Linked DNA regions of Rattus norvegicus. The protein of the gene in region 4 purifies or fractionates together with the protein of the main gene of each other region. This does not show direct contact. Links are inferred from orthologs where the notes say so. Each region holds a gene or a part of one and is shown on either strand. Other genes may lie near its edges. The genes, in order: Eftud2, Wdr77, Coprs, Riok1 and Clns1a.

Region 1 (6,028 bases), on a different chromosome or scaffold from region 4:
GAGCTCAGGCAGGCTGGGATTTACATGGGAAACAGCAGACTGACCTTAGAGAGCGTGGCAGTCTTTAAACATATACACATATTTAGTTATCTATTTCATGTGTATATTTGTACATCGTGTGCATGTCTAGAGCTCTCAGAGGTCAGAGAAGGGCACTGGGTATGGGTCCTCTGGAGCTGGAGTTGCGGGCGGTTGTGAGCTGTGCTCAGAATTGAGCCTGGGTTCTCTACAAGTGCAGCAGTGCTCTTAGCTGCTGAACCATCGCTCTAGCCCCAAAATACCAACTCTTTTTGCTCACTAACGAGCTAGGAGTTTTGCTGAATACTGAGACAAAGATAACTGACTCTTAACCTAGAAATAATACTGAAAATTAAAGAAAAGTTGCCCAATTCATTCACTGAACTTTGAAGATTCTCTGACAGCTAGGCAAGGTTTCCTCCAGCCATACCTGTGAGGGGCTGGGTGTCCTCCTCCTGGACTATGGTCTCCACCTCAGGGCCATACACCTCCTCGGCTGTAGGGTAGTACTTCTTGTCCTCATGTAGCACCACCTCCATCCCAGGGTGGTCATCATCGTGCTCGCCCACATCATCCTCGTCCTCATCCTCATCCATCTAAAGACAAGAGAGAGAGGGCGGACAGAGAGGTACCTTTTCCTGCCTGACAACCAGCTGAATCTTCCTTCAAGCCCTGTGCTGGTGAGGGGTTCCCTACCGCTGGAAGACCCTCCCCTCAAGGGACTCTGGGAGTCTTGGCTATGGCCAGCTCTGTTGCATCAAACTTGTTCCACTCTTGATTCCATTAAGACTGGCCACAGTGGGTTGAGATTAAAGAAAACAAACAGCACTGCCAATTAAGAGAAAAACAACCCAAAATCCACTTTCTCCAAGGACAAAAATCAGAAGCCAGAGGTAGAAATTAGGAACAAACTTGTATCTTTAAATTTTCACTTAGGTTGACAAAACTGATTTTGAAAAGTTATCTCGATGGCAGGCAAAAACAGGCGTTGGTGAGGATTAGGATTTAAAAAGCTGCAGCCTGCACGTGCTGGGTGGGGAAATGGTGGTGCTGCTCTGGAAAGATCCGCACTTCTTCACGTTCAGTGTAACACGAAATCCAACCAAGCCATTCTAGTCCGAGACGCTACCCTAGTTAGGCTTCCCACTGCTGTGACGAAACACATTTAGGAGAGGCGGGAACACTGGGATGAGAGTAAACTGAAGTCACATAGGAGGTAACGGTAGAGAACCTTCTGGATTATTTAAGTAGTGTGATGAGACACCCCCTCCCACCTTGTTTTTTAGTGCATTTGCGTGTGTGGAGGCTGGGAAGGTATTGGCCTCAAAAACACCCTCTCTCTCCTTTGAGACAGTCTCTCACTGTGACCTGCTCAGGATCCACCTGTCTCTTGCCTTCCAACAGTGGGACTACAAGAGCACACTGCCACACCTGGCACTTTCATGGGTTCAGGGACTGAACTTAGGTGCTTGTGCTTGTACGCCAACTGAGCTGTTGTCCTTGGTCCTGACTTTATTTGTTCTAGAAGGGTGGCTTTCAACTAGGGTAATTTGTAGCAGCCGTTATAGCTCAGTGTCTTGGGAGTAAACCTATACACTGTCTGTGCATATAGGGGACAGGAGGACGACATACCCCACCCTTTCCACCTTGAGAACACAGAGGGGAAGGTTAGTTAGGCACCTACTGTAGTAACTTGGGAAAGATGTGGTAACTGCACCATGCATCTGTGAAGGCCCCACTAAGTTGCCCAGGCTGGCACTGAACTACGTACCTAGCTAGAATTATGTGCAAAGGGTTTTTCTAATACAGGGTTTCTCTCTATAACCCTCGCTGTCCTAGAACTCAGACTAGACGTGCACTCAGAGATCCGCCTGCCTCTGTATTTGCCACCGTGCTCAGAGCCAAGGTTTTAAGGTAAGACAACATGCTGTACACTGCCTGGGATGACCCACTAGTGAGGAAAAGCTGCTGGAGCAGGAAAGGGAGGAAAAATGATGGGTGAAGGCCCTGAGTGGCGAGGGGAAGGGGGATGGGAGTTGGCTGACTAGAAAACAATTTGTCCACAAGAACAGAGCGGAAGGCATTGTGTGCAGTGAAGTGGGTAGATACAGTGGTGGGCGTTTGTTTTCTTTCACACAAATTCCAAAATGTCAACCTGTTTTTTAGAAAAGAATGCAAATACCTGCGGTGGTGGCTGCCTGGCCACCTCCTGCCATCTGTATATTCTGCTTCTATTAAAGCAGCCCAAGATTACATCAGCGCTTTCAGCAGCCAAACATATCCTACTGGTAATGGCTCCAAAATAGCTACCCAGCCAGTCTTCTGTCCCATACAGCTGAATGCATTAGGAAGGGAGCCGTGGGCTTTATGTAATAACTCCTACCTCCTCTAACCATCTCTACTTGAGCATGCAGTAGCTCAAAGGAGCCTGGAATAAAGCTAACAAGCACCCTTAGCGTTCCCTTTGTCTGTCCGTCTGTCTGTCTCGTTCTAGCTCCTCAGCATCCTCATTCCCCTTCTCCCTTCATACTCGAGTGGAGGCCCAAGCCCCCGCCTTCACAGGGTTGCTGGCAGGACTGCAAGCCCTGGCTGGTTGTCAGGCCTCTAACCCCCTTTCACTGAAAGAAGAACTCCAGCACTCTGCTTTGACTGTGCAGCCTTGGCTGTCCCGGACCTCACTGTGTGGACCAGGCTGGCCATGAAGTGCAGTCTGGGTCTCTGCTGGAATTCAAGGCTGCATCGCCTCATCTGGCTCTTATCTGTTTTCTACTCGGGGCCTTCAACTCTCTGACCCACCTCCTCTGCTACACAGCCACAGCTGTCCTCTAAGTACTAGACTTTGGCGATCTGGAGAAAAGATGGTTTACCAGTTAGTTACCTGTGGACCTTCTCCCTGTGCTCCTTCCCTCCTGAATGAACACCCTTCTTACAAACTCCTATGTATCAGAGCTCCAAATAGCTTTTTTTTTCTCTTTCAAGACATGATTTTTCTGTTTAAGAAAACATCAATTCATATAAGAAAATCTTTTTTTTTTTTTTTTTGGTTCTTTTTTTCGGAGCTGGGGACTGAACCCAGGGCCTTGCGCTTCCTAGGCAAGCGCTCTACCGCTGAGCTAAATCCCCAGCCCCAAGAAAATCTTTTAAATTAAAAAAATTTTTTCAAGGGGTTGGGGATTTAGCTCAGTGGTAGAGCACTTGCCTAGCAAGCGCAAGGCCCTGGGTTCGGTCCCCAGCTCCGAAAAAAAGGAAAAAAAAATTTTTTTTCAAAACAGTTTTCTCGGGGGCTGGAGAGATGGCTCAGCGGTTAAGAGCACCTGACTGCTCTTCCAGAGGTCATGAGTTCAATTCCCAGCAACCACATGGTGGCTCACAACCATCTGTAAAGAGATCCGATGCCCTCTTCTGGTGTATCTGAAGACAGCTACAGTGTTCTTATATATAATAAATAAATAAATCTTAAAAAAAAAACCCACTTCAAAAAAAAAAAAAAAAAAAAACAGTTTTCTCTGTGTAGCCCTGGCTATCCTAGAACTCACTTTGCAGACCAGGCTGGCCTTGAACTCAGAGATCCACCTGCCTCTGCCTCCGAGTTGTTGGGATTAAGGGCATGAGGTACCACAGCTCAGCTCTAATTCCATTTTAAGAGAAATTACTTAATTCCTTTTTTGTTGTTGTAGTTGTTCCACGGCCTCTCCTTTCCACCCTCCATCTTGGCAGTGTTGAGGACTAAATCCAGTGTACCTTGTGCACACCAGGGAAGCAGCCTACACCGAAGCTCTATCACCACAGTGGCTCTCAGCTGACCTCAAGATTTCCCTAACGCCCCACCAGGGTGCAATTCCTCCGGACCTGCAGACAGGAACACACTGAAGATGCAAGCTGTCTCCTTCACCAAACCCACAGGCAGCTTCAACTTTCTTTTCCTAATGCTTATTTCTTTCTAGCTTGAGCAACATTTTCCTTTATGGAGCCCGATGGCAGCCAGACTTTGTCCCCATCCCTGCTGTCCCATGAAGTTAAACCCCTTGCAAATCCAGACCCATCCAGCACTAAGAAATGGGATGAGACAGTTTTTCACTGTTTGACTGTTTTATACATTTATATCATGAAGTGTCTATTTTTATCCGCCCCCTCTCGTGCTCACTAAAATCATTCAGTGAGACCCTACTTTCATTAAATCTACGTTTTACTCATTGAGTTCTGATTAATGCTAAAAGATAAACCACTTTGGATGCCTGTTGCTATTTGAATGCAAACTGTCTCTCACTTGCTCACGTTTGAACCCTTGTCCTCTCTCCCAGTACAAGTCATACAAACTATTCAACAGTAGCTGGGCATTGGTGGCGCATGCCGTTAGTCCCAGCACTCGAGAGGCAGCAGCAGGCTGGTCTCTGTGAGTTCCAGGATAGCCAGGGCACACAGTCTTGAAATCCACCCCTCAACCCCTAGGAAGCATTAGAGATGCATGCAGGTCATTGTGGGAACATTGTCTGTAGAACGAGAGGGGTAAAGAAACAGTGTTTGTTTTACCTCATCAAGATCTTTTGTCTCTCTTCCCAGTTCATCGTCATCTTCATCAGAATCAAGCTCTGGTCCGATATAATTCCCAAATTCATCATACAAGTCAGTATCCATGATGCTACAGTTCAAGGACAGGAGAGTTAGGGTCTGGCAGGTAACGAGGGCCTGCCCCACACCCTTACCTTTCCCACCATATGGGCAGGAGTCGCCTGGTAACTGACCAATCTACTGACTAGTGTTCCCAGAGGGCAACCTTTCTCCACTTCTCTGCCCTGGCCATTCTATCTACTTACAGCCCACAAACATCCTTTATTTAGGGACAAGGCCTCTTTGTTGCCCAAACTGGCCTCAAACTCTATGAAGTTCATGTTGGTCTTGAATTCCTGATCTTCCTGCCTTAGCCTCCTAAGTGCTGGGATTATAAACATAGGCACAGGCCCGGCTCTATTTATTTATTTTCTGTATATGGGTGTCTTGCCTGCATGTATATCTATGTCCCATGCTCATAGGCACATGTCACACACAGAAGCCAGATCCCCTGGAACTGGATTTGCAGACAATTGTCAGCTAATGAGTACGATGTGAGTTGAACCTGGGTCCTTTGAAAGAGCAGCCAGTGGTCGTAACCACTGAGCCATCTTTTCAGTCACACTTAGCTTTATTTTTACCCTTAAAGATAGGTTCTCACTGCTACCCAGTTTGGCCTTCCTGTGTCTCTGCCCTAGTGCTGACATAATGGGTGTAAAACTAATGCCTAGTCCACCTCCCCTTTCTACATTTACTTAATCAATTAAACTTATCTGTGTGTGTGTGTGTGTGTGTGTGTGTGTGTGTGTGTGTGTGTCTGTTTGTCTATGTATAATTTTATACACATGTCTCCAAAGACAGCATTGGATCCTTTGGGAACATGAAGATTGCCATGTGAATGCTAGGATCTGACTCCAAGTCTTCATGGCTGCCTAGAAGTTACTCTTAAATTCTAAACCATCTTTCCAGCATCTTACTTTAAAAAAAAAGTTCTCAAAATATCACAATACAATCATCAAAACAAAAACATCAATACCAGCAGGTTATTCTACCTAATGCCAAGTTGAAAAACTGTTCCAGTCATGAATTATACAGCTAAGGACATAAACCAGGACTGTACACACCCTGAGGTATCTTTATCCTTTTAATCTAGAATGGCTTTCTAGTCTTGACTTTCACGACTTGACATTTTCAGACCACAAAGCAATGCTTTGTATCAGCAATCCCTTCGTGTGGATTTGCATCTGCTCTTAGCGGTACACCATTCCTCACTGATGATTCTCGCTGTGCCCTCAACTATGCTGACAGCGGACATGCTTGTTATAAAAGTACTCATTTTCCCTTAGTGATGATTAAGAACTCATTGTTCTTACTGCTCTTTCAAAGGACCCAGGTTCGAGTCTCAACATCCACACATTAGCTTACAATTGTCTGCAATTCCAGTGGATTTTTCCCCCACTTC
Region 2 (6,028 bases), on a different chromosome or scaffold from region 4:
AGTCACTGAATTCCAGCAGTTCATTCCTTACACACAGAATGGCAGAAGACTGAAGTATTCCACAGTAAGTGGAGGACCACATCAAAGCATTATCAAAGACTAGAACCAGGCACCATGTTCATTGCAACTTACCAGTTATTCCTCCCCTCCAGAAGCGTATTCCTTCCTCAGCCCTGTTGGAGTGTACCTGTCTCAAGTCCACACAATAAAAACAGCTACGCTTCCTCACAGAAAGTCTAAAATCTCACAAGGAAATGTGTTTGGATGCTCAACAGTGGCCTACTTACCTTACTACCCTGTTTTTCCTATTTCCAGTATTGTAGACTAGACATGAAGTTCTTGAGACAGTGTTTGAGATTGGATCTTGCTTACCCTTTCCCCAACAAAAGCAATTTTCTGGTTCTAAACTCCCAACTCCCAAACCCCAACATTATCCGTATTGGCAATAAGCAACTCAACATGAATGCTGATTACATACAAATTGTCTTTAGCTTCCTCCACACGTGGATTCTGGTAGATGCCCTAAGCCTTCACATACACACACGTTAAAAAATATATTTTTCAATTCACATTTACTTTGTGGGCTCAACCAGACAACTACCAAAACACAAAGAAAATACAAGATATTATACACTGTCCAAATGCAGTACCTTTTTAAAACCAGAGCTCCATACTCTAAACACAGCAGTGTTATGATGCTATATGAGTTTTAGAAGGCCTTTTTCTGAGTACCTTATCCTTCAAAACCTCATTTCTCTTCTTTGGTGTTATTTTAGCCATTCTAACAAACTTTTATTTACTCATTCCCTTCAGGTTTCCCCCCTGCCAAAGCAGGCCGTGTAAACGGATAATTTGTCCTTCCCTAAGGAACACAAAATACAAGCTTTATCTCTTGAGAAGCAGAGACTGATTCTACCTCCCTCTTACGCCTTCCCTGGAACTTAGTAAAATTCCAAGTCCTGACTGACACAGGCTGCAAATTCAAGTGCTTTACTCAAGGGTGATCACGAGAGGCTCTTGACTGGCAAGAGTAGAATGGAAGCTCATGGTCCTTCAGGGCGCCCATTTTATGTGCTTTTCCTAAACCAAAGTTGTAAAGCTCTAATAAGATCAGTTACTGACCCATAATTGCTAACGGAGTGCCTAGTCCACCAATGCCAAGTATAAATAAATAAGTTCTAGATGTTCTGCGAACAGTAGACTACAAAGACAGTGGGCAGTTAAGACTGATTGATACTCAGGTGACTCACCTAAGCAAAGCAGGTAATAAATAAGCTTTGGAGGAAAGATGAAAGGATAAGTCTTTATTTCACCTTCCAGTATTTTTGACAGTTTCTCTGATGCCGGATCTTCAATCTTAGGAGTCCAAATATACAGCGCTCAGACTTCAGCTCTCCAGAGCAAAGTACCCAGATCAGTCCTCAGGGAATTTTTAGGTGGGAAAAATGACAATGACAGATTTCTCTGTAACAATCCATGTCAATCTTCTCGCTTCACTGAAACACTTTTAATTTAAGTACTCCATCATCCCTAAAACTGTGAAATCTAGGACAGGAAAGCACTCATCTCTCATACACAACACAAAAGAAGGAACACAGGGTGAGCGAGCGCGAACTCCAAGGGCCAAATTGATTCACCCAGAAAGTGGATTTGATTCCATTTAACAGGCATTCGTACAAAACTGTTCTGTCTTCTCAAGGTAGTCTGGCTAGACTTTTGTATATGGGAAGTAATTCCCATATAGTGAATTAAACTCTATATAAAAATAAGTTACGCACCTCTGAGTAATGTGAAGTATTCCCAAGCATCCAGGGATACCCACACTCCATATCCCTAACAACATAGTCAGCCCCCAGACATGGGAAGCATAAAATCCTCTGGTCATTTTGTCGGGGGTAAAGAGCATTGCTTTGGGAAAGCTGAAGGATAATTTTCTCCACTCCAAACTATACACTGCACTCACACGTGTACTCACACATACATCCATTTATAAAGGAAGCTTTTTCCTCCAAGTCACTATGGGATGCAGCCTCCCTCAGGCTGAGAATCTGACTAGTTACTGCACGGGACTAGGGAGTAATCATGCTCTACAAGGCTCCTGTGCTCTCTCTCTCACAAATGGAAGGCAGGGGCAAGCGAGTCGACACTTGCAGACAGAAGGCTCTTTTCTTCTGCAATCCATTCTACTCCACAACACTGTCAGGTCCAGGGGCTGGGAGAGGCTCTAACGGCACAACATGGTGGATGACCTGATGGTCCCAGCCAACTGTGGTAAGAAGGGAGTGATTGAGTGGAGACCATGTAGCATCTCTCACAAAGTCTCTGTGGGCTCGACTTCTAAACCTAGAACAAGAGGGGAAAATGTGGTGTGGTAAGAGAAAAGATGAAAACCCAGGAGGAACGATTAAAAAAAAAAATTAAAAAAAAAACTAATAACATACACTTATGACACATTTTTTGAAACATTTCACCATCTACACAGCCCCATCACCAGGCCAGTGGATGTTAGATTATCCAATCCAGTCTACTTTCTTAGGTGAAGAAATGGTGGACAGAATCGGAAGCAATAATGCCCACAGTCAACAGGAAATTATGGCAGAGGGACACACCCAGGCCTTCCATCCAGTGCTTTACAGCAAGTTCCACTTCTCAGAAGTGGCGCCCTGCATGAAGCTGGAGCGCTTGGTAAACAGCCTACAATCAGACAGCTTCCAGCACTCGGTCTTAGACACACAGCTGCAAACAGAGACGACTTGGGGGAGGGGATATCTCTGCAGACAAAGATGAAGAATTTTCTTGTATTTATACTTATTTTTAATAATCTCCATGTGGGTGGGTGTGCAACTGAGTGCGGACGCACACAGGTATCATATGCATTGGATCTGGAGTTACAAACAGCTATGTACAGACTGATGCAGATGTTAGAAACAAAGGTATTCTAAACTGCTGAGCCATTTCTCCAGACCCAACAAAGGAAGAATTCTACATGCATGTTCCTGAAGAGAAAACAGACTTGCTTGCCTACTGGTCTTGATCCCTGATTCCCGACCACAGGATTCTACTTCAAACTTACACCTCAGAAAAGCTTGAATCCAGCACAGCAAGTGAACAGTCTTCACTGAGAGAGGCCAGGAAGGGAACACTAGGAGAGGACACAAAGGGAAGAGAAGATAATGCCCATAGGTTCTACAACCGAAATCTAACAGGGCCAGCCCCAACCCCACTGTAAAGTGAGCCGGGGAGAGGGCAGTCTGATGCCCACTTTGGGTTCAGATCTTACCACCATTACATCCAAGGAAGATGGAACAGAGCCAGTGCTCACGGAAACCAACCAGCCCAAGGGTCCTCCCTACATTAGCAATTACCCACCCACAGGCTCTGAGCAGGAGTGAGATTACATCTTAGGTCTTTCCAAACTACACAAACCAAATAAAGACTATCTGGACAAGCTTAGGAAAACCAGGTTAGAGTACTGCCCTATCTGAGGTCCAATGTAAGCAGCTAACGCTTTGCCAAATAGACACATCCCTGTATCACTCCACTCCTACTCTTTCATTACAGTCCCCACCCATCCCTTCCAGGTTCCTGGTAACAAACAGTACCTGTGTGGAGAGAACACCAGTCTAGTGACACACTGCGAGTGCACAGCTGAGCTGAGGGTGCAGCTTGCATTCTTGGTGTCCACAAGGGAGACAGATCCATTCTCATCACCTGTAGAAGAAAGAGAGCATGTCACAGTGGTTAAGAATTTATGATTTGGGCTAAGTAGCACACACCTTTAATCCTAGTATGTGATGAGAGGCAGAAGCAGAAGGATCTCAGAGTTCAAGGCCAACTGGGCCTATCACGTTCTAGGACAGTCCAAACTACATCTACATACAGACCCTGTCTTGGCTGAAGGGAAAAAAAAAAAAAAAAAAAAAAAAAGCCATAGACACTGATGTCAGTCAGATGGGAGATTTGAATGAATCCTAGTTTCTCAAGATGTAGACAACAGTTTCCTTTGTGATATAGAATCAGTCAGTCACTATGTGGCTGTGAATTACTGGATAAAGTTATTACATTAACTACAAACTCTTGCCATGTGTAGTCACACCACAGCAGAACATAGTTCCCTAACAGCAAGCACTTGCTATGCAGCTCACTGATTTCTAACCATGCCCAGAATAAAGGAGCTGAAACAATGAAGCAAACCTATTAGGAAAAAATGATGGTCTCCAAAGCTAGGTAAAACCGACATAATCCATGCAGTGCCCAAGTGTGCTGACAGGAGCATGTACTCCAAGGTATCCGCCCCATTCCCAGAGTCGATACGTCATGCTGCCTTACCAAAGACAAAGATTTCACTCTGCTGAGGATGCCAAGCCAGGGAGGTAGGGAGGTAGCCAGAGGCATTGCAGCCTGGAAGGGAAAAAAGGGAGATTTGGAACAATGGTCACAACCTAGAAGAAGCTTCTTCCAAAAGAAGTCAGTAAATCCTGGGAGCACTTTCACTGAGTTTCTTAAAGACTGCCAGAGCAGTCATGTATGTCCTCACCCCTGAGCCTACACCTACATCTACCCATCCATCTCCTGCCATCTCCTGTACAACTAAAAGCACAAGACATAAAAATAATAACCCTGACCCTTTGCCCAGCTGTTTGCACAGTAAACTACACATGGAAACTAACCCTTACTCTGGGTACCCCATGCACTGTGGTCAGCAAAGTCTCAGTGAGACAGAAAACAGTGTTGTCAGAGGGTGGGCATCTAAGAGTTCTGCTGTGACTGTGAGCAGCAAAAGCCTCCTGCACGTGGGCCCCATTACCACTTCCTCCTTACCATGGAGCTCAGACTCACCCATCTGTGATGCCGGCTTGGGACAGCGGGTATCCCAGAGCAAAATTCTACTGTCCTAGGAAAAGGAATAGAGAAAGGGTTACACAATCCAAAACAGCATCTACTCCCCAAGCTCCAGACCAGGGATTTGGGCCTACTAAGGGTTAGCTATGGTTGGGAAGAAGCCATTGGATCTCACCTCACTGCATGAAAGAAACACAGTTTCTCTGTGGGGAGAGGCAGCAACACAGGTGACCTGTCCCGCATGAGCTGTGAAAAGAAACATGGCAAAGGGAGTGTGAGAAACAAGCTGGCTTCATTAGATAATTCAATAAATATAACAGACTATAAACTACAACAGAGTCAAAGTTAATAGTCATAAAACAGGAAAAGGCTGGCAGAAATAATGAACTGGTAAAAACAATGAAGTTCAATTGCAGGCTTAGTAGGCAGAGAGGAGTTTGCAATGTAGATGGTGTGAAGGAAGAGGCTTACTAACTCTACGATGTCATATTAACAATACACATACCTCTTAAGTATGAAACACTTGAGAGTTCTGGTGCTGTCTTCCGTGAGTTTTCTAATATGCCTTCCCCTAAGACTGAACTTGCCTGTTTTCCCATCACACGTCTCCCACCCTATAGGCTGAGCTCATCCATACCTCCCTTCGGCCCTTCCAGGTCTTCCCAAGCCAGAGTTCAGAGCCTGAAAACCTAAGGCTCTCACAGTAAAAGCCAAAGAGCAAAGGACTCAGTGAATGGAGCAAAGCTGTCTCGGTCCTCCCACAAATACCAGGGTCACTCTGTGGCTGTCTCTCTGTTTCTAACAGGGAGAACTGAAATACAAAATAGTTGTTTCACTAAGGACATAGCCAACTGACTTGTCTAACTGTTAACAAACCAAGTAGGACTTTTTCCTAAACAAAGTGAACTCTAATGCTGCTAATAGTACAAATAAATTGGTTGTCATTATTTGTAAAGTTTCTATAAATAGGTTACTGACTTTTAAAAAAATATTAGAAAAAATGAAATGCCAATACATAATAGGCCAAAAAAGTTAACTTCCTGGCAACCACCTAATTTTAAAAAAAATATATTCATTTATTAAATATATGTGTGCACATGTGCCACAGCATACATGTGGAGGTCCCAGGAAAGCTTGCGGGAGTCAGTTATAGTCTTCCACCAAATAGATTCTAAAGATCAAACAG
Region 3 (6,790 bases), on a different chromosome or scaffold from region 4:
ACTGCTACAGAGGCACTGGGCTGGGTGTACCCTTATACATACAAGACGTAAAAGGCTTTCTGTCCTTGTAGAAGAAGACATTTCATCCTTTTTAGTTTACAGAAAACTATTCATCTTCAGTCTTGGTTTTTTTTTTTTTTCAGGAAAATTATGTTGTTCAAGGAGGAGCAAGGAAGCTGTGTAAGCGTGTCTTGTCTGGGAAGATAGGTCCGTGATTTCTAAATTACACCAGTGCTTGCTATTTTAAAAGCTTGTTAGAATTCGGTGCAGATCGCTCTTCCAGTCAGAGTGTGGGGGCTGCACTCGGAAAGCAGGGAGACGCTTGAGACAGACAGGAAGACCCAGATTTCTAACTGAACTTGGGCTATACAGCAAGACTCCTGTTTAAAATAAAGCTAGAAGGCACGTAAATATTTCTGATTCCTTAGTCCAACCCTTTCTCCAAGCTGCTGTAGGGATGGTAATCATGCAATGCGAAGCAAGTATCTCCTGGGAAACATGTTAGTCGTGTGTGTGTGTGTGTGTGTGTGTGTGTGTGTGTGTGTGTGTGTGTATGTGAGAGGGAAAGAGAGAGAGAGAAATGTGTGTGCATATATGTGTGTGAATGTGAGAGAAATGTGTGAATGTGTTATGTGTGGAATGTGTGTGTATACATGTGTGTGAATGTGAGAGAAATGTGTGTGTACATGTCTGTGTGAATGTGTGTGAATGTGTTGTATGAAATGTGTGTATGTGTGAAATATATGTGTGTGTATGTGTATGGATGTGTGAGGGAAGTGTGTGTGTACATGTCTGTGTGAATGTGTGTGTGTAAGTGTTGTATGAAATGTGTGTGTGGATGTGTACCTAAATCCAATCTGCTCAGTCTATACCGTGTTACTTGTATGTGTATCTGTGTTTCAGGGCAGACCATCGGGTACTGGTTAACCAAAGGTGCTCTTTCCTGGGAAGACTGCTTCTCCCACTCTCAGCATCCTTAGTTGCCTGTGTGCAGGGTGGAGCTCTGGGAGCTTTCCCCTACCCGTGTCTACTGGTCTCATCTTTGTCCAGCTCATGATCAGGCAGTTATGTTGGTGAAACTGTCTAGCTGGGACCTCTGACACTTCTAAGAGACACAATGGCACAGAAAACTGTTACTTAGGCTCCTACATTGTTTCCACTCGCTCTTCTGCAGAGATCCTGAGCCTCAGGTGTGGGAGTTGTATTGTAGATGTTTCTGTTGGTACTGGGCTCCACAGCTCTGCGTGTTGACTGGTTGTGGTTTTCTGGAATGGTCTCCATCTGTTACAAAGAGTTTCCTCGATGAGGACTGAAACTGGACTTGTCTGTGGGTCTGAGGACAGATATTTAGAGTAATTAATTATCATGTATTTAAGTATCATAGTAATTAAGTATCATGCTGGTTTCATAACATGGTGGTTGTTGCTTTTCTTCCAAGAGCCACACTTAACTGACACCGAGCAGTTGGCTGGGTTTCTGGTACTTAGTATGATTCCCCTCTTGTCGAGCAGGTTTTAGGTCCAATTAGAACGCTGTTGGTTACTGCCGAGGCATACACACCATTACTGCTCTGTGAGGATTATTGTGCCGTGCTGGTCACTGTCGTGGTCCATAGGTCTCATAGCTAGGTAGAACTATCCGTTGTTTTCCTCCGTTGGAAGCTTGCATAGCATCTTCTGGAATCATGAAAGCTGATCCCTCAGGGAGGAGGCTTTCAGCTAAGTTCCAGTCAGGGGCCTCTGGACCCTGCGTTTAAGTATATGGTGTCTTCAACCGTAGGAACTTACTTTTCACCTATGAAGGTCAGCCAAGGGCAATAGCAAGAGCCTATAATATATTGATAGTCGTCTCTTGGACAACCTTCGCCAGCAACTTAAAGGGGTGTATTCACGCCTGGTCTTGGGATTTTTGTTAGACGGTTGATGGCTCTTAAAGAAGCACTGTTAGCCCAGGTGGGAAATTTTCATCTCTAGTATTTATGTCTATGTATACGCCAACTTATATGTGTAGTAGACATGTGTTGTTGCTGGAGTTTAGGCTGTTGTGGGGGAGCGGAGGCAGTAAAGGCTGTCTCTGCAGCTGGGTTGTTCACACACACACATACACACACACACACACACACACACACACACACACACACACACACACACACACACACTGCTATCTCCAGCTAGCCGCTGACTTATGTTTTTGAGGTATTAGGGGGAAACCAGACTGTACACTGTAGGACTTTGACCACTAAAGACAGCTTTGTCAGTTTCTATCACCCAACGGTTTTGAACTGCGGGAAGGGGGTTGGGGGAGGGGGTGTTAACAACCCGTGTCCGAAGTTAGGTTAGTTACCCGTACTCAATATGCCAGTAAAAATAGCCAGATTAATCATGGAAAGACGAAAATGGAAAACGGAGAATTATAACGGAGAATTATTCAACATAGTCACATTACTGACTTGGAGCACTGGCTTTGACTCCAAATTCGATGACACACCACGTTTTGTGGTGGCACGTAGTTTGTTTTGATCCTTTATCCGGGTTCCTAGCGGATTGGCTTTAAAGACTATCCTTAAATCAAAGCAGCAATTCTCCAGGCTGCTGAGTTACTCATTAAGAGATGCTGTAGTGCAGGTGCAGAGGGCGATCTGGAAAACCGTGTGATGGGGAAGAGCGAAAGTGATGGAGCCCAGAGGCTGTGACTGTGTGACAGCCGGGTGGGCTCTATATGCTCTCGGGTCATTTCACACTGCGGTTGGGGAGTCCCGGGTGCCTAGGAACGCTCAGTGGCCAGTCTGGCCTAAGGCTCTTCTAAACCAGCGCTTGAGGTCAGATAGGGCTGGAAAGCCTGCGGTCCGGAACAACGCAGGTGGGCGTGTCGTCCGGCGCTGCCCCTGCGCCGCCCCGCCCCCTCGGTCGCAGCGCCGCGCCGATTGGCTCGCCCGCAGCCTGTCAGCCGTCACGTGTCGGAGCGTCCCGGGCGCCTGGCTGTGGGCGGCCCGGCATGGACCCTCAGGCAGCCACCGGTCCGGGGCCGGGCGAGCCGAGTGCATGGGAGGCCCCCAGCGCGGAGGTGAGCGCCACGGGGTGGGGGATGCGGGCACCCGCGACCACCCGGGCTGGAAGTCGAGGGGCTCGAGCGCTCCGGAGAGACCGCTCACCCGGGAAACGCCGGGGCCGCGCGAGTGCGCGCAGAGCCTGTCCGGTAACGGCGGTGGGCGCGGAAACGCGCGTGGACCCGAGCCCTAGGCTGTGGCTGGCGCGGGAGGGAGAGAACACCGGGGCTTCTCGGGAGCTCCTGCGGGAGTGAATGCAAAGAACGCGGAGCTGGCCGCCCCGAGCTGGTTCCAGCAGCAGGGGGCCGGGTCAGGCGGGAGCGGCGAGGAAACATCTTTTTTTTTAACCTTACCTTGAGGACCTCTGGCCATTGATAGGGATGTGCCGCTGATGTCACCCGTGCTTTTCCCCATTTGACAAAACGAAAGAGCCCGTCGTGTTACGGGGTTTCCAGAAACTTGTTTTCAAGTGCCCGCCAATGCAGCCTTTTCCCACGACCTGCCCTTATTGCGTCTACCTCTCCAGTGACTTCTTGACTGTAGGCATCCTTTTTACCAGAAGCCACGCCTGTACCTGGCACAACGTATATGCTAATTGGGTGTATGAGTGGAATGCTTACTTGGACATCAGTACTTGTACCATCAGATGGTACTTGAAGCGACAGCACCAATAGATTTGCAAAGAAAATTACTTTTGCAAAATAGAAAGTCAGGGCGGAGCTGGAAAGGATGTTTTTGGGTGAGAAGGTAGGCCCAGCAAAGGTCTGGATATGAGAAAGTACGGGGCAAATGGCCTTGGAGCTTGGGTCGGAGGGCAGGCCTTTTTCAGGAAGAGGACTGTGTTCAGCAAGTTGAGGAACGTGAGAGGCAATATGGATGCCATCGCCAGTCTGTGATGGCAGCAGAGGGCCTGTGAAGGTTTTGAGTGGAGGAGTGATTACACTTGCTAAGAGTGAGCAGGAGTAGAGAGATGGGCATAGGTTCACATAAGACGTTCAGCTCCTAGGGGGGCAACAGTGGCCCATGGTTATCACTGACTACAAGAGATGAATTGAGCTGTTAAAGCTCAGGAGTGACTAGATAATGAACGCTAATTTGGGTGAGTGCTAAGTACAGTTTACATGCAGGATGAAGGGTGCTTAAGGCCGGAGAGACAACCTTGGTGGTCTTACAGAGTTCGGCTTAGTTCTCCGCACCCACAACAGATGTCTCAGCCCTCTGCAACTCCCTCTCCAGGGATCCTCCTGGTAGATTCGCACATACAATTATATACAAATAAAGTAAATATATAAATAAATAAATAAGTGGATTAAAGTCAAAGAAATGTTACCTCCTTGAAGTCTTAACAGGTGGTTTTGTTATTGTTGTTGGCTTTATTTTATTGTAATTTTTTTTTTTTTGAGATAGGGTCTCATGTAGCCTAGGATCTGAGCTCACTTTGTGGCCAAGAATGATCTTAAATTTCTGACCCTTCTGCCCCTCCCTCCTAGATGCTGGGATTCTGAGTATGACCCACCTGTAGTATGTTATGTAGGGTTGGAAAGTCAGTGTGGAGCTTTGTGCACACAGGGCAAACACTCTCCCACTGAGCTCTGTCTCCAAGCCATAGTGGATGTTTTATGAATGTCCCTTCATCATAGGACCCCTCCCAGGACATAACAACCATTTCTGTTTCTAGAGGTCACACCCTGAATGAATGGCAGGGCTAAGACTGAATGAACTCTGCCTGACCATCCACGCTCTGGACATTACGGGTTCCACTGCAGAGAGATCTTGGGGGGAATAAAGTTTGGGGAACTTTGAAGTAACAGGGCATAACATTCCTGGTTGGCAGTGGGGATTAGGTATTCCTTCCAGTGTTTAGAACTCAGGCGGCTTCCCCCATGGACCACTGCGGGCATGGCTTTGTTAGGAGTTGTTAGACATTGAGACAAAGAACTGAAAAAGGCAAAGGTTTGCAGAGAAGTTGCAGGATCGGGAAACAGCAGTCAATCCTAGCCAAGAAGAAGAGAGATGAAGTTAGGGCAGTTGAAGTGTTCATAAACTTAGAGGAAAGAGTTTCCACAGACCTGAGGTTACAAACTGAGTCCAGGGAGCTGTCCCATCTAGCCTCAGGGTCTGTGAGCTTGGGGAAGTCCTGCTGCCCAGACTTCTGAAGAGGGCCCAGGGGTGAGAGCAAAGCCAGCATCTGTCAGTTGGCCACTGCAGGAGGGCACACCCAGTGGTCAGAGCGGAGAAGTGCTGCTGGGTGATGCCTTGCGCAGGGCAGTATGGGAGGGAGGGTTTGGGGCTTCAGAGCAGTGACACGCCCCACATACCCAGTTTCCTGGTGATTATTTCTTCTTCCACAGGCTGGTCTTGCCACAGCTGACCTCTCTGGTGGGGAGACAGAGACTGAGCTAGACGTGGACCGACTAGGCAAGTAGACGGTGGAGACTGGGGTGTCCCCTGGAAGAGATGGAGGGAAACAGCACGGTCCCTCTGTCTTGTCTGTCTTCTCGTGTTGGCCAGCCCTCTTTGCCCATTGTCTGAGTGGAACTGTTGGTTTGCAAGCTTCCAGGAGGTACTGGATGCCCGTGGATCCAAACCACCCCATTTCACTGGGAGGAACAGCTTGAGACTATGAAAAGCATCTGGTGTGTGAAGCTAGGAAAAGTCTCCGTTACACATCCAGGTTGAGTTAGAAGATCTGTAGTGATGCTACCCAGGATACTCGCCACCGTGTAGTTCCGTGATGCTCTGCTCCATCCTGGAGGAGAGTCCTAACAGGCAGTGCTGGTCTGTACAACCTGGGCACAGAATGGGTACGGCCAGAGCCGGTGCCGAGTGCACACTGTATTTCAGGCACAGATCCAGCTGTCCCCCCCCCCCCCAAATAAACTCACAACAACCTGATGACTGTTTCACCAATGAGAAACTTAAGGTGCATAGTAAAGTCTTAAAATGCAGCAAAAGACATATAACTTGTGTTTACCATTAAACTAAATTACAGCATATGATCTGGTTCATTCAGCTCCATGACAGTGTGTACAACTGTCACAACTACGGCTAGGATGTTTTCATGGCTCCAGAAAGAAGTCCTGTACCTGGAATAAACACTTTCCACTCTCTAGTTCTTGAGCCCCTATTGATAGCTTCCCCCACCCCTAATAATTTACCTATTATGCACATGCAAGTGTGAATTTACAGTAAGTGAAATTATACAATACATGGTCCCTCATGGCCCGGCTTCTCTCAACTCAGCACATTTCCAAGGTCCATTCCTGTAGCAGCCTCTGTCAGCACCCATCCCTCACGAGACTGAACACGTCCATCAGGTATCCTGCATTTTGTGGATCATTCATCCTCTGATGACATGACATTTGGTGATGGAATGGTGTCACACTGAACTTCTTTTTGTCTGGAATGTGTTTTATAGTTCTTGTGTGGGCACTGTTTCGAGTAGAGCTGCCAGGGCGTGTGGTGATTCCGTGTTTAAGTTACTGAGGAGTCAGGACCTTCAGTGTCGAACAGCTCAGGACAGAGCTGACTGAAGTGGTCTCCAGACTCCGCCCTCTCCACTTCAGTGCTTTACAGCTGTGACGACAGTCTTAACACCATGGCTTTCCAGGCCACTTACTTCCTTTCCTCAGACCCGGTATCGCCACAGCAGCCCGTGTTTTGGAGGTCCATTGGCCTTCCGTAGGCTTTGTCATGTTACCATGTGGCTTCTCTGAATTCAGGAGGAAGAACGTGCAGACTGGA
Region 4 (5,470 bases):
TGGTTTTGGCATCCGGCTTGATCTCCCTGCTCTTCAGGGTCTGTGTCAGAGCACTCAGAGCTCCCAGCATCGTCTGAATCAAAACAAGTCTCTTCCTTAACTTCACTTTCTAGGAGCGCAGGGACCTTGAAATTATTATAGAACAATGTTACCTGAAGCCAAGTACTTATCTGTTGGTCAACAAATTAATGCCAGCATTTTACATCAGTATGTCAGATACTCTTTCAGGTTATGCACTGAAACATCAAAACAGAATCAGCATTAGGGAGAAAGATGGGTAACATCATTCACTCTGGTAGGACTCAAGAATATACACAAAGGGATTAGCAGGGGTGTTGGACCTTTTGATGCTGCCTTTTACAAATGTGCTGGGTTACACTCACAGCTACCGTGGCATGCACATCTCATTACCGGGGTTATACAGCTGGGTTACACTCACAGCTATCCTGGCATGCATGTCTCATTGCCGGGGTTATATGGCTGGCCTAAATTAACAACACGACTCTGCCACTTTAAGCAAGACAGATAATTGAGCTGGGATTTGTAAAGAATGAGAAATACATAGGTGGTAGTCATAGTAGTAATATCTATCTGGGTGACTTCACAACTGTTTGCCTGTGTACTACATTACTAGCAATAAGCTAATCTAACCAAAATGAACAGTCAATCAAGAGGAAGTTTCATTTTCTCTGAAATTAAGTTATTTAACTTTTTCCCTTCTTTTTCCATTTCCTTGTCTTACAGGTAAGTGAATGGGTCCTGGGAACAGAACTCAGGTCCTCTGGAAAAGCAGCAAGAGCTCTGGATGGCTGAGCCAGCCCTGACATGTTTCAAGACTGATTTTAAAAACTACTAAAAAGGTTTATGGCTATCATTAATTACTCCAGCATCAAAGACAACCAGGATTAATGACAAATATCTCACTTCTAACAGAAGAATTCAGAGACAGAATAAGTACGTGTCCAAATTTAATTCTAATACCACTTTACTGTAACTTTTATATCTTCAAACTCTTATAAACTTCAAAAAGAGTTTCCACGGGCTGGCAAGATGGCTCATCGGGTAGCCTGACAATCTAATTTGGATCCCAAAGACCCATGAGGTGGAGAGAGTCAACTCCCCAAAGATATCTTTTGATCACCACACATGCGCTGTGACACACTTGTGAGCACACACACAAATAAATGCAGGATTTACGGAATAAACTCCGTTATAAAGCACTAACAACATGTGCTGTCCATACCTTCTGGACTCCTGACAAATCTTTTTTCAGTCCTGTGACAGTCTGGTATAGAATCTTGAAAACAAAAGGAAAACAAATATAAGCATAATATATATAAAAGACAAGAACATGTATATACTGTACCATTAAGCATGGACTAAACAGTAATCCTATGACTCAGAATGCACTCACAGTCTACCACAGTAACACAGAGAGGAGCCTGCATTATTCTGGTATCCCAGGCGTCTCCACAGGCTCAACCATCAAACCCGAGAGTTTTCAGGTAAGCTCTGCAACCCCCAGATGACAGTGAACACTAACTTGGACTTCATTCAGTGAAATGGTACTCACTCCACAAACAGTCCTATTCTGTTCTCACCAACAGAGCTACATGGCAAAAGTTGTAGTTATTACTAACAGTGCTTCCAAGGGTTGGCAAGATGGCTTAGTGACTAAAAGTGCATGCTGCTCAGGCATGAGGATCAGAGTGGGGATCCCAGCTCCTACATTCAGTGGCTTAGACGCCTCCAAGGGCCCCAACACCCTTTTCTGGCCTGAGGACACACAAATGTATACATACAATCACACAGCAAATCTATAAATAATATTTTTTTAAAAAGTGCTTTTAGGCCAGAGAGCTAGCTCAACAGATGAAGGAACTTGTCATAAAACCTGACTATGATCTGCAGAAGACACATACAGTTGGAGACACGTGATCCCACAAAGCTGGCCTCTGGCCTTCCTACAGGCACCATGGCATGCATGCTCTAGCTGACACATGTCTAACACACATGGTAATATATTTTTCATACTTTTGTTTCATGCATGAAAATCTGGAAAACACTGCTTTGCTCTTTATATAAAAACTTATATAAACAACTAAATTTTGCTACATGGCTGCAAAGCCTAAAATATTACTTTCTGGTCCATTAACAATAATTTCCCTCCAAGGGAATTGGAGAGATGCACTGTGGCTAAGAACTTATTCTGCTCATGAAGAGGACCCAGTTTGGTTCCCAGCACCCATGCAGGGAAGCTTACAAATCCCTCTTAACTCCAGCTCCAAGTGACCCTAACACCTCTGGCTTTTAAGGACATTGGCATTCCCTCATGTGACATACCACCCCCCTAATTAAAAATGATAAAGATATTGTAAACATTCCTTCAAATATGTGTGAAAATGAAGCATAGCTTCATCAATCTACTACAACCATTTTTAATCCTAGACCTCACCTTTTTACTAACTATAGTTCTCCAGACACTACAGATACAGCACCCCTCTCTTACATCCAAGGAGCATTCCCTTTATGGCCAACAGGTATGGAAGCATGTCCACACAAAGGGAGCTGACACTCACTGGCACCAAGCCACTCACATTGTCCTGCTGAGTGTTCAAAGCCATGTCCTCTTCCTTTAACCTCATCATTATGTCCACATCTCTCTCATAATTCTTTACTTCATTTAAGGTTCTGGGAATATATGCTTGTTTGAACACCTAATAGAGGAAAGCAAAATTAAACCATTATTCCTGTACTCTTCCCATCCCCTCAGTACCCTTAGCTGTGTCAATCACGCAGGAACGTACTGTCACTGCCAACGCCGACTCTCACTCAACCTGTATACACACTGGTGTCGTGCCTGCCATGTGGTAAGCCAAAGGCAATTTGGTAAGCAACAATGAGATTTTACAACTGACCTAGGGAAGAAAGAGAGTGTATTCCCAATGACCCTTAGAGTAACACTCCTCCCATACATGCACATTTCAAAATGCATCTGAGGAAGGACAGGATGGAGTAACAGTTAGCAAGGACAGCCTGGCTGTGAGAAACTGAATACCCAGTATTCTCTCTGTGTAGAAATATCTCAACTCAGCTTCCACAAACTTCTAAGAATAAGCTACAATTAAAATAATAATAGATATAACAATAATAATAATAAGCTGATTGTGGACCTTAATGAAGATTTCTTGACTTCTTTAGACTAGTTTGATTTTAATTTTTAACCAAGTATTTAAAGTCTGTTATATTTACACAATCAGCACATAGGTCATTTAAAAATTCACACCTGCAAATGAATAGGCTTTTCCTTCTTGACTCACACCCCACTAGCTCTTTTAAAACTCTACCGGAACAACAGGCTAAAAGGTTGCTGAGTACAGCAATATAATTGAATAAAAACCAAGCTCATGCTTTACCAACAAAAACAAAACCATGATAAATCCTATAACAGGAGAATCAGTTGGAAATGATGGCACACATTCATAATTCTAACCGTCAGGCAGCCGAAGCAGAGTGAGTGCTTGTTTGAGGCCAACCTGTACCACATATCAAGTCCTAAGACGGCCTGGTTTATATGAAGACTCTGTCTCAAAACACACAACAGAACACCCCAGAGTTCCAAGCAAACCCACAAATGTTCCCCAAGGCTGTGAATACATAATAACCCCACCTCTTCATCCACATGATCTTGGCTAGTCTTTTCTTCCATGGTCCTCTGAGATGCTATTTCCATAGCCTTTGAAAGAAAAAAAATTTCCTTTACATTTACCCTAGAAGACACATTTTCTACTATGTAATTAGTTATTTTTTCTCATCTTTACAGGCCTCACATCTTCTATGGTGTAAGCTGGCTTTCTATCAAAGACCTGCCAGCCATTTTAAAAACTAAAATAAACCCTTCTAGTCTCAAGTCACCTTTGCTGCCTTCTTCAAAGTCTCCGTGGTGGAGCACTGCCCGGGATCTACAAATCCCACAACCCCAGCACCAGCATCACTCACACCCAACTCATGGCCAAGACAAGAAGAATGAACTTTTTAAACTTAATTTTAAACTACTAGCAGAAATCTTTCTCAGAAGAAAACTGAGACTCAAATCACCCACAAAGTCGCTTGAGTAACAGTAACTGGAAGGAGACAGAGGCTCCTTGACTTTACAGGGTTCTTGACTTTAAAATACAGGGAGGGCCAGCGAGGTGGCTCAATAGTTAAGGGCATAGACTGTTCTTCCAGAGGAACAGAGTTCAATTCCTAGTACCCACACATTGGAGAGCTCAGAACTGCCTGCTACACCAGCTCCAGGGAGATCCAATGCCTCTGGCGATACAAGCATCCACACACACACACACACACACACACACACACACACACACACACACACACACACACACATGCATGCACGTGCACATACCAATAGGTACACACAGTAAAGTAAAAATATCTTTCAGAAATAGAGAGGAAAGAACATTTATTTTCTGGTTTTTTTAAAGTATACTAATGGTTTAGAGATAAAAATACTTTGATAGTCAATACATGTATGGTGGTTTGAATGAAAATGGCTACCACAGACTCAAAGGAGTAGCATTATTTGAAAGGATTAGGACATGAGGCCTTGTTGGAGTAGGAGAGGCTTTGTTTAAGAAAGCCTGTCACTGAAGGTGTTGTTTTTAGGTTTCTGAAGCTCAAGGTAGGCCCAGTGGCTCACTCTCTCTTCCTGCTGCCCACTGATCCAATGCAGACCTCTCAGCTGCATCCCCAGCACCATGTCTGCCTGTGAGACTACATGTTTCCTGCCATGAAGATAATGGACTAAACCTCTGAACTGTAAGCCAACCTCAAATGTTTTCCTTTTTAAGTGTTGCTGTGGTCAAGATTTTTCTTCACAGCAATAAAAACCCTAATTAAGACAAGATGTAGTTGCCTAGTACATAATCAAGAGTTCATAATCTACCAAACACGGTGGTACACCATGACCCTGGCATTTCTGAGGCAGCAGCACGAGGAGCATAAGGTCAGGTGAGATGGGGCTACAAAGTAAGACTATCTGAAGGAGACAAAAACCCCCAGAGAGACAAATGAAACGAACAAACGGGCTGGAGGTGTGCTCAGGAGCAAAGAGTGTTGGCACAGCACTCGCTGAGCCCTTGCTTTAACCCACAAACTGCTGTGGGGCACAGTCATCATCTCAGAGCGCAGGAGAAACAGGCAGGAGAATCGCAAGTTCAAGTCCATCCTTGGCCATAGATAGAGTCTGAGGACGCCGGTGTATAAAAAACACTGTCTCAAAAAAAATTAGAGAGAAAACAATGCCCCTGAAACCACTGTTCCTCCTGAATCTCCTTGAGACAACTGTCTGACCTGAGTTTTAACATTTGCCAGACACAGCAAGATGAACAAGAACCAAGGGGGAAAGGCACTCCTGGGAAAGAGGACATATGAGAATCCCGACTCAGAAGTGACAAGACTAACAAAG
Region 5 (6,028 bases), on a different chromosome or scaffold from region 4:
TGATGTTGAACCCATTTCTGAGTTTAGATTTGTGCCCAGTGATAAGTCAGCATGTGAGTGTTGTGATACTGATCTTTTCTCCATATGTCCCCTCTCCCATTGGTAAGCACACACCTCTCCCCTTCATTACCGTTACCTCCGTTCTGTTGCTTTATCCTGTTTAGTCTCCTTAAAGTCATTGAGCAGGTACTTATTACTGTCCCAGGTTGTGGATACAGTAAGAATACTGTGACTAGCATGGTATCTGGTGCACTTTGTGCAAGGAGGACTCTGGTCAGTCTGATTGACTCTGTTGACTCAATGTCAACGGCTGGAAACACTTCCAAAGTTGAAAATGTGGAGATTTTTGGAAAGTATGTCATGTGACAGAGGCTTTTTCCTAATTAGCAGTGTGACCAACATCTCTGACCTTTTTTCTTTACTCTTTCTTTTCCCTTTCTCTTTCCTCTTTTCAACAGGGTCTCTCTATATAGTCCCAGCTGTCCTGGAACTATGTAGACCAGGCCTTAAACTCAAAGAAGTCTGTTTGCTTCTACCTTATGAGTTCTGAGATCAGAGGCCTGACCCACAACACCTGGGTTGGCCTTTTTTTCTTAAATCCAGCCACCAATGAAGAGATATTATAATGTCTTGAATCCTTACTTTGTGACTTATTCATTGTCTTCAAGCATTTTCCATGGTCAATTTTCATTTGAATTTTATAGATTTTATAAATATAGTTAGCCTAGTAAACCTTTTGTCTGCTTTTAAATTGGTTTGTAGCAGTGGTTATATTTATTCTAAAACTCTGTGGTGCACTGGAAAAAGTATTAGTTACAGTTTCCTGTCCTTCAGTGGAGGCGATGTTCACAGCAATGTGTGAGTGCCAGGCCCTGCATCCAGACCCTGAGGATGAAGACTCGGATGACTATGATGGAGAAGAGTATGATGTGGAAGCACATGGTCAGTGACTTGGGTCTCAGGTTGGCGTTACTGTTTCATTTTAAGCATGTGCTAAGGGCATACAATTTTTAGGTTTTTTTTTTTTTTTTCTATAAAGGAACCCATGTAAAATGGCTGTAAATAAAGGTCCATTAGCATACTTGGTGTCTCGGCCCTTTCAGCAGACAATTGGGGAAATGAATGGCTTTCCCAAGCTCAAACAACAATAAGATATTAGGGGTGGGGAATGGATAATAGAAACAAATGGGAAAGACAAGGACAGCTAGAAAGTCGGTGGTCAAGAGCATACCTCAGTCTGAGCTGGCTGTCCCTACCCTCCCCACTGAGAAATCTGTTCATGTATATCTCTTTAAAGTTGTGTTTAATTTGCTTATCTTACATGTATGAGTGTTTTGCCTGGATTCCTATATGTGCCCTCTGAGGCCAGAAAAGGGTTTTGGAACCCCCTGAGTTTGAATTATATGGTTGTGAACTGCTAGCTGGGTGCTGGGAACCAAACTGCAGGCCCTGCAAGAACAGCAAATGCTCTGACACCACCGAGTTGTCTCTCTAGAGTTCTCTTGATATCGCACTTTAATTTCCTTTTCCCTAAACCCATACTTCATTTATCCACAACTATTTTCCACTGCCTCCAGACCAGAATGTGCTCCCTTGCTCTGGTAGGTTGCAACCTAAGGCACAAACGGTCTCTTTGGCACCAGTCTGGGCATCTACAGTTCTTTCCTACACAGGAATCCAGTTCCCAGCCTAAGACTACCCATTTCTGGAATTATTCTTCACATACACAAATATGTTCTCATTTCTTAGAGATTTTTTTAAGTGATTTTCTGTTTTTGTCCCTTTTATATTCTTTTAGATTTTCTGGTTTTTTAAAAAAGGAAAAATATGTTAATTCAAAATTCTTTCAGTCAAATTTTGTATTTATTCACTTATAAAATTCCCACCTTGGAATATTCCCACCTTAGAATAATAAAGGATTCACCAATTTTAAAAACACCCTCGGGGCTGGGGATTTAGCTCAGTGGTAGAGCGCTTACCTAGGAAGCGCAAGACCCTGGGTTCGGTCCCCAGCTCCGAAAAAAAGAACCAAAAAAAAAAACCACCCTCTTTTCCTTCTGGTTTTCTAATTCTAATGGGTAGGGACATATTTTTCTTTTCTTTTTGGAACTCTTAATAATGACCCTATCAATAAATACCGGAAGCCTGTACATCTCCAGCAAATGCATTATTTATTGTCCACTGTCTTTTTTTCCCACTGCTGTATAAAATCGTGTTCTGTTTGTTTAGAGCAAGGACAGGGGGACATCCCTACATTTTACACCTATGAAGAAGGACTATCCCATTTAACAGCAGAAGGGCAAGCCACGCTGGAGAGATTAGAAGGAATGCTTTCTCAGTCTGTGAGCAGCCAGTATAATATGGCAGGCGTCCGAACAGAAGATTCAGTAAGAACTTACGAAGGTGAGTGCCCTTTCTCTTCACCTCATGTGGTGGTCATGTGGCGGTCCTGTGGCAGTCCTGTGCTTTCTGATCTCGAACTGCTTATGTGCCACACCCAGACTTAAAGCACATCTCTATATACTTCTCTTTTTTGGGGAGGGGGGGTCTATTTTGTTTTGTTTTTGAGACAGGGTTTTTCTGAGTAGCTTTTGGCTGTCCTGAAACTCTTGAAGTAGACCAGTCTGGCCTTCAACTCTGAGATCCACCTGCCTCTGCCTTCCTACTACTGGGATTAAAGGTGTATGTCACCCCCCCTTATATGTGTACATTTAATTCTTTTTAGAATAAAGTTTATGAAAAGTTTAAGGATAAGTTTATGATCCACATTTTATCCATTAGACAGCTAAAGCTCAGAAGGGTTGCATTGCTTGAGGTCAAACAGCTGATAAGAGGATTATTTCAGTGAACCATTATATAAAAGTAATATGCCTGCCATTGTCATCAGCACCTCTTACATTTTATGTGTTTAGTATATATTAGTATTTTATGCTCTAGGAACATTGTAACACTGTTGTTTTCAATGACTACAGGACATTGTTGAAGTGGCTTTAGTGTGTCTTCTCTGGTCCCCTTTCACTTCTCCCATGGTGCTGTGATCAGTATCACATGCATACAGCATATTGACCTGAGTTTTGGAGTTCTGGGATAGTGGCAAGGATGGGGAGATGGGGTAGGAATTGTATCTTACTGTATTGCCCATGCTAGACACAGACTAGTAAACTCAAGTAATTATCGTATCCCAGCATGCCTTACTCACATGTGGCAGGTGAAGAGTTGGGAGAGAGTCAAGAGTGAGAAAGTAAACAACTACAGATGGTTTTTTCCAGAGCACTTTTTTTTTTTCTGCCCTCCTCACATTTTTTTTTAAAAACTGTATTCTATGTGTATATGTGTTTGCCTGCCTGGATATCTGTGCTCCTTTGCATGGTTGTGGAAGCCAGATGCCCTAGAACTGAAATTGTAGACAGTTGAAATCTGCCATGTGGGTGCTACAAATCGAGCCTGGGTCCTATGAAAAGTCGACAGTGCTCTTATTCTTAAGTGCTGGACTATGCCTTTAGCCCTCATCCCATGCCATGTTAGTGAGATAATGGAAATGGGGAGATAAAGTTTGCTGCTGTTGTTTTTCTGCTCTGATTAATGCATTTGAAAATCCCTGCCAGCCAGACCTGGTGGCATGAACTTGTGATCCTAGCGCCTGATGTGAGCCCACAGGACGCAGTGACTTTGAGCTTGTCTAGGCTACATAGCTAAACATTCCAAATTTTTTTGGAAGAAAAGGCATAAATTGACTCCTGCCTAGGATTTGTGGGTTTGTATGTGTATGTGTGTTGATATTGTGGATTTACAAAGTTAGCTGTTTAGATTGATTTTTAATTTGACTTAAATCCACAGGTGGCTCAGATAACTTTGTTTTCAAAATAGAAAGAGTGGAATTGGAGGTGTTAGATAGCCTGAAGTGGTGGTCCACCTGCAGTCCTAGCCATGGGCCTGAGGTCAGGAGCGGAGGATAGCCTGAACTGCATGAGACCCTATTTCAAAAACAACAAAATGCCCAAATTTTTAAAATGCAGTTATTGTTTTTATTGTATTTTTTAGATTGGGTCTCACGTGTAGCTTAGAAGTACTACACAGACTAGACTGGCCTTAAACTCACAGAGTTCTATCTGACTGCCTCCCAAGGGCTGGGACTGCAACAGGGGACCACCATGCCAGGCCTTGCTGAGTCAAGTGTCTGAGAGAGTGTCTTTATGTACAGATGGCATGGAGGTAGAGACCACACCAACTGTTGCCGGACAGTTCGAGGATGCAGACGTTGACCACTGAGGATGACTCGTGTGACTTACAGTGAGTGAGTAGCTGATTCTCTCTCGTTACTGCATGAGGATCCCTGAAACGACAATGGGCTTAAAGAGTTCTAGGAAGGTAGCAGTTTTAAAAAATGTTATCCATCTCTGGTTACTGGAAATTACTTGGGTTTTGCCCTACAAACATCTTTTAAGTTCAGTTCCAGAAAGATATGACGCCCTCTTCTGGCCTCCACAGGCACTACATGCACATGGTACACATACATGCTGGCAAAATACACACACATAAGATAAATATATATATTTTAAGTTCAGTGTTTCTAAATTACTGCAGTTATAGAACTAACGATGCATGGTAACGATGCATGTTTTCTTCTAATGCGGCTATCAAAAAAATAGCCTTAGAGAAATTCTGTGGCTGTGTGGTTTATATCTCTTCCCATAAATGTTTTCCTTCCCTGCATTATTGCTGCTTTTGTGTAGTCTGTAGGCAGCAGACTCTCTGCTCACATCACTGCGAGCTTTCCTGGTGCCGGTTAGTTTTCCGCTCTCACAGTCCCAGACATTGATAACCCACCACCGACTCCAGGCCTGACCTCCCTTACTCATCATCACGTTAGTGACAGCTAACTGCCTTTGAAGGGAAGGGGCAGTGGCTAGCATTATAAGTTGTTAGTAGCCTGGATGGGAAGTTTTTCTTCTTTTTTCTCTTAGTGGATTTTTTTAAATTTACATTTAAATGTTATCCCCTTTCCCTGTTTTCCCTCCAGAAACCCAATATCTCATCCTCCCCTCCCCCTGCTTCTATGAGGGTAACTCTCTTATCCACCCACCCATTCCCCCCCACGCCCTGACATTCCCCTATGCTGGGGCATTGACCTTTGACAGGACCAAAGGCTTCTTCCATTAATGACAAGGCTATCCTTTGCTACATATGTGGATGGAGCCATAGGTTCATCCCTGTGTACTCTTGGGATGATGGTTTAGTCTCTGGGAGCTCTGAGGGGTCTGGTTGGTTGAAATTGTTGGTGCAAACCCCTTCAGCTCCTTCAGTCCTTTCTCTCATTCCTCCATTGGGGACCCCATTCTCAGTCCAATGATTGGCTGCAAGCACTCACCTCTGTATTTGTTAGGCTCTAGCAGAGCCTCTCAGGAGGCAGCTATATCAGGCTCCTGTCAGCATGCACTTCTTGGCATCTGCAATATTGTCTGGGTTTGGTGTCTGTATATGGAATGGATCCCCTCGGTGGGGCAGTCTCTGAATGACCTTTCCTTCAGTCTCTGCTCTACACTTTGTCTCCATATTTTCTCCTGTGAGTATTTTTGTTCCCCTTTTTAAGAAGGTCTGAAGCATCCACATTTTGGTTGTCCTTCTTCTTAAGCTTCATGTGGACTGTGGATTGTATCATGGGTATTCCAAGCTTTTGGGCTAATATCTACTTATCAGTGAGTACATACTATGTGTGTGCTTTTGTTTACTGGGTTACCTCACTCAGGATGATATTTTGTAGTTCTATCCATTTGCCTAAAATTTCATAAAGCCATTGTTTTTAATAGCTGAGTAGTACTCCATTGTGTAGATGTACCACATTTTCTGTATCCATTCCTTTGCTGAAGAACATGTGGATTCTTTCCAGCTTTTGGCTACTATAAATAAGATTTCTATGAACATAGTAGAGCATGTTGTGTCCTTGTTATATGTTGGAGCATCTTTTGGGTATATGCCCAGGAGTGGTATAGCTGGTCCTCAGGTAGTGCAATGTCTAATTTTCTGAGGA

Evidence for each region.
Region 1: the proteins of Riok1 (region 4) and Eftud2 purify together in Homo sapiens (affinity purification with mass spectrometry; 3 studies listed by BioGRID). This does not show direct contact. The link is inferred for Rattus norvegicus from reciprocal best matches to the Homo sapiens genes RIOK1 and EFTUD2.
Region 2: the proteins of Riok1 (region 4) and Wdr77 purify together in Homo sapiens (affinity purification with mass spectrometry; 5 studies listed by BioGRID and IntAct, with this or other methods). This does not show direct contact. The link is inferred for Rattus norvegicus from reciprocal best matches to the Homo sapiens genes RIOK1 and WDR77.
Region 3: the proteins of Riok1 (region 4) and Coprs purify together in Homo sapiens (affinity purification with mass spectrometry; 3 studies listed by BioGRID and IntAct, with this or other methods). This does not show direct contact. The link is inferred for Rattus norvegicus from reciprocal best matches to the Homo sapiens genes RIOK1 and COPRS.
Region 5: the proteins of Riok1 (region 4) and Clns1a purify together in Homo sapiens (affinity purification with mass spectrometry; 3 studies listed by BioGRID and IntAct, with this or other methods). This does not show direct contact. The link is inferred for Rattus norvegicus from reciprocal best matches to the Homo sapiens genes RIOK1 and CLNS1A.

What each region holds. Positions count from the first base shown.
Region 1 is NC_086028.1:88,338,006-88,344,033, forward strand, and holds part of Eftud2 (116 kDa U5 small nuclear ribonucleoprotein component), read right to left. Parts: intron 4,658-6,028; 5' UTR 4,654-4,657; coding exon 4,549-4,653; coding exon of another isoform or gene 4,548-4,548; intron 615-4,547; coding exon 449-614; intron 1-448. UniProt on the Homo sapiens protein: Required for pre-mRNA splicing as component of the spliceosome, including pre-catalytic, catalytic and post-catalytic spliceosomal complexes. Component of the U5 snRNP and the U4/U6-U5 tri-snRNP complex, a building block of the spliceosome.
Region 2 is NC_086020.1:196,129,102-196,135,129, reverse strand, and holds the end of Wdr77 (methylosome protein WDR77), read right to left. Parts: intron 5,089-6,028; coding exon 5,018-5,088; intron 4,895-5,017; coding exon 4,840-4,894; intron 4,402-4,839; coding exon 4,330-4,401; intron 3,712-4,329; coding exon 3,603-3,711; intron 3,143-3,602; coding exon 3,074-3,142; intron 2,344-3,073; coding exon 2,184-2,343; 3' UTR 1,277-2,183; downstream 1-1,276. UniProt on the Homo sapiens protein: Non-catalytic component of the methylosome complex, composed of PRMT5, WDR77 and CLNS1A, which modifies specific arginines to dimethylarginines in several spliceosomal Sm proteins and histones.
Region 3 is NC_086034.1:82,420,512-82,427,301, forward strand, and holds the start of Coprs (coordinator of PRMT5 and differentiation stimulator), read left to right. Parts: upstream 1-2,968; 5' UTR 2,969-2,994; coding exon 2,995-3,063; intron 3,064-5,397; coding exon 5,398-5,464; coding exon of another isoform or gene 5,465-5,468; intron 5,469-6,790. UniProt on the Homo sapiens protein: Histone-binding protein required for histone H4 methyltransferase activity of PRMT5.
Region 4 is NC_086035.1:26,974,161-26,979,630, forward strand, and holds part of Riok1 (serine/threonine-protein kinase RIO1), read right to left. Parts: intron 3,737-5,470; coding exon 3,671-3,736; intron 2,718-3,670; coding exon 2,598-2,717; intron 1,298-2,597; coding exon 1,244-1,297; intron 126-1,243; coding exon 1-125. UniProt on the Homo sapiens protein: Involved in the final steps of cytoplasmic maturation of the 40S ribosomal subunit. Involved in processing of 18S-E pre-rRNA to the mature 18S rRNA. Required for the recycling of NOB1 and PNO1 from the late 40S precursor.
Region 5 is NC_086019.1:161,443,198-161,449,225, forward strand, and holds part of Clns1a (methylosome subunit pICln), read left to right. Parts: coding exon 1-53; intron 54-834; coding exon 835-942; intron 943-2,229; coding exon 2,230-2,403; intron 2,404-4,201; coding exon 4,202-4,269; 3' UTR 4,270-4,290; exon of another isoform or gene 4,291-4,294; intron 4,295-6,028. UniProt on the Homo sapiens protein: Involved in both the assembly of spliceosomal snRNPs and the methylation of Sm proteins.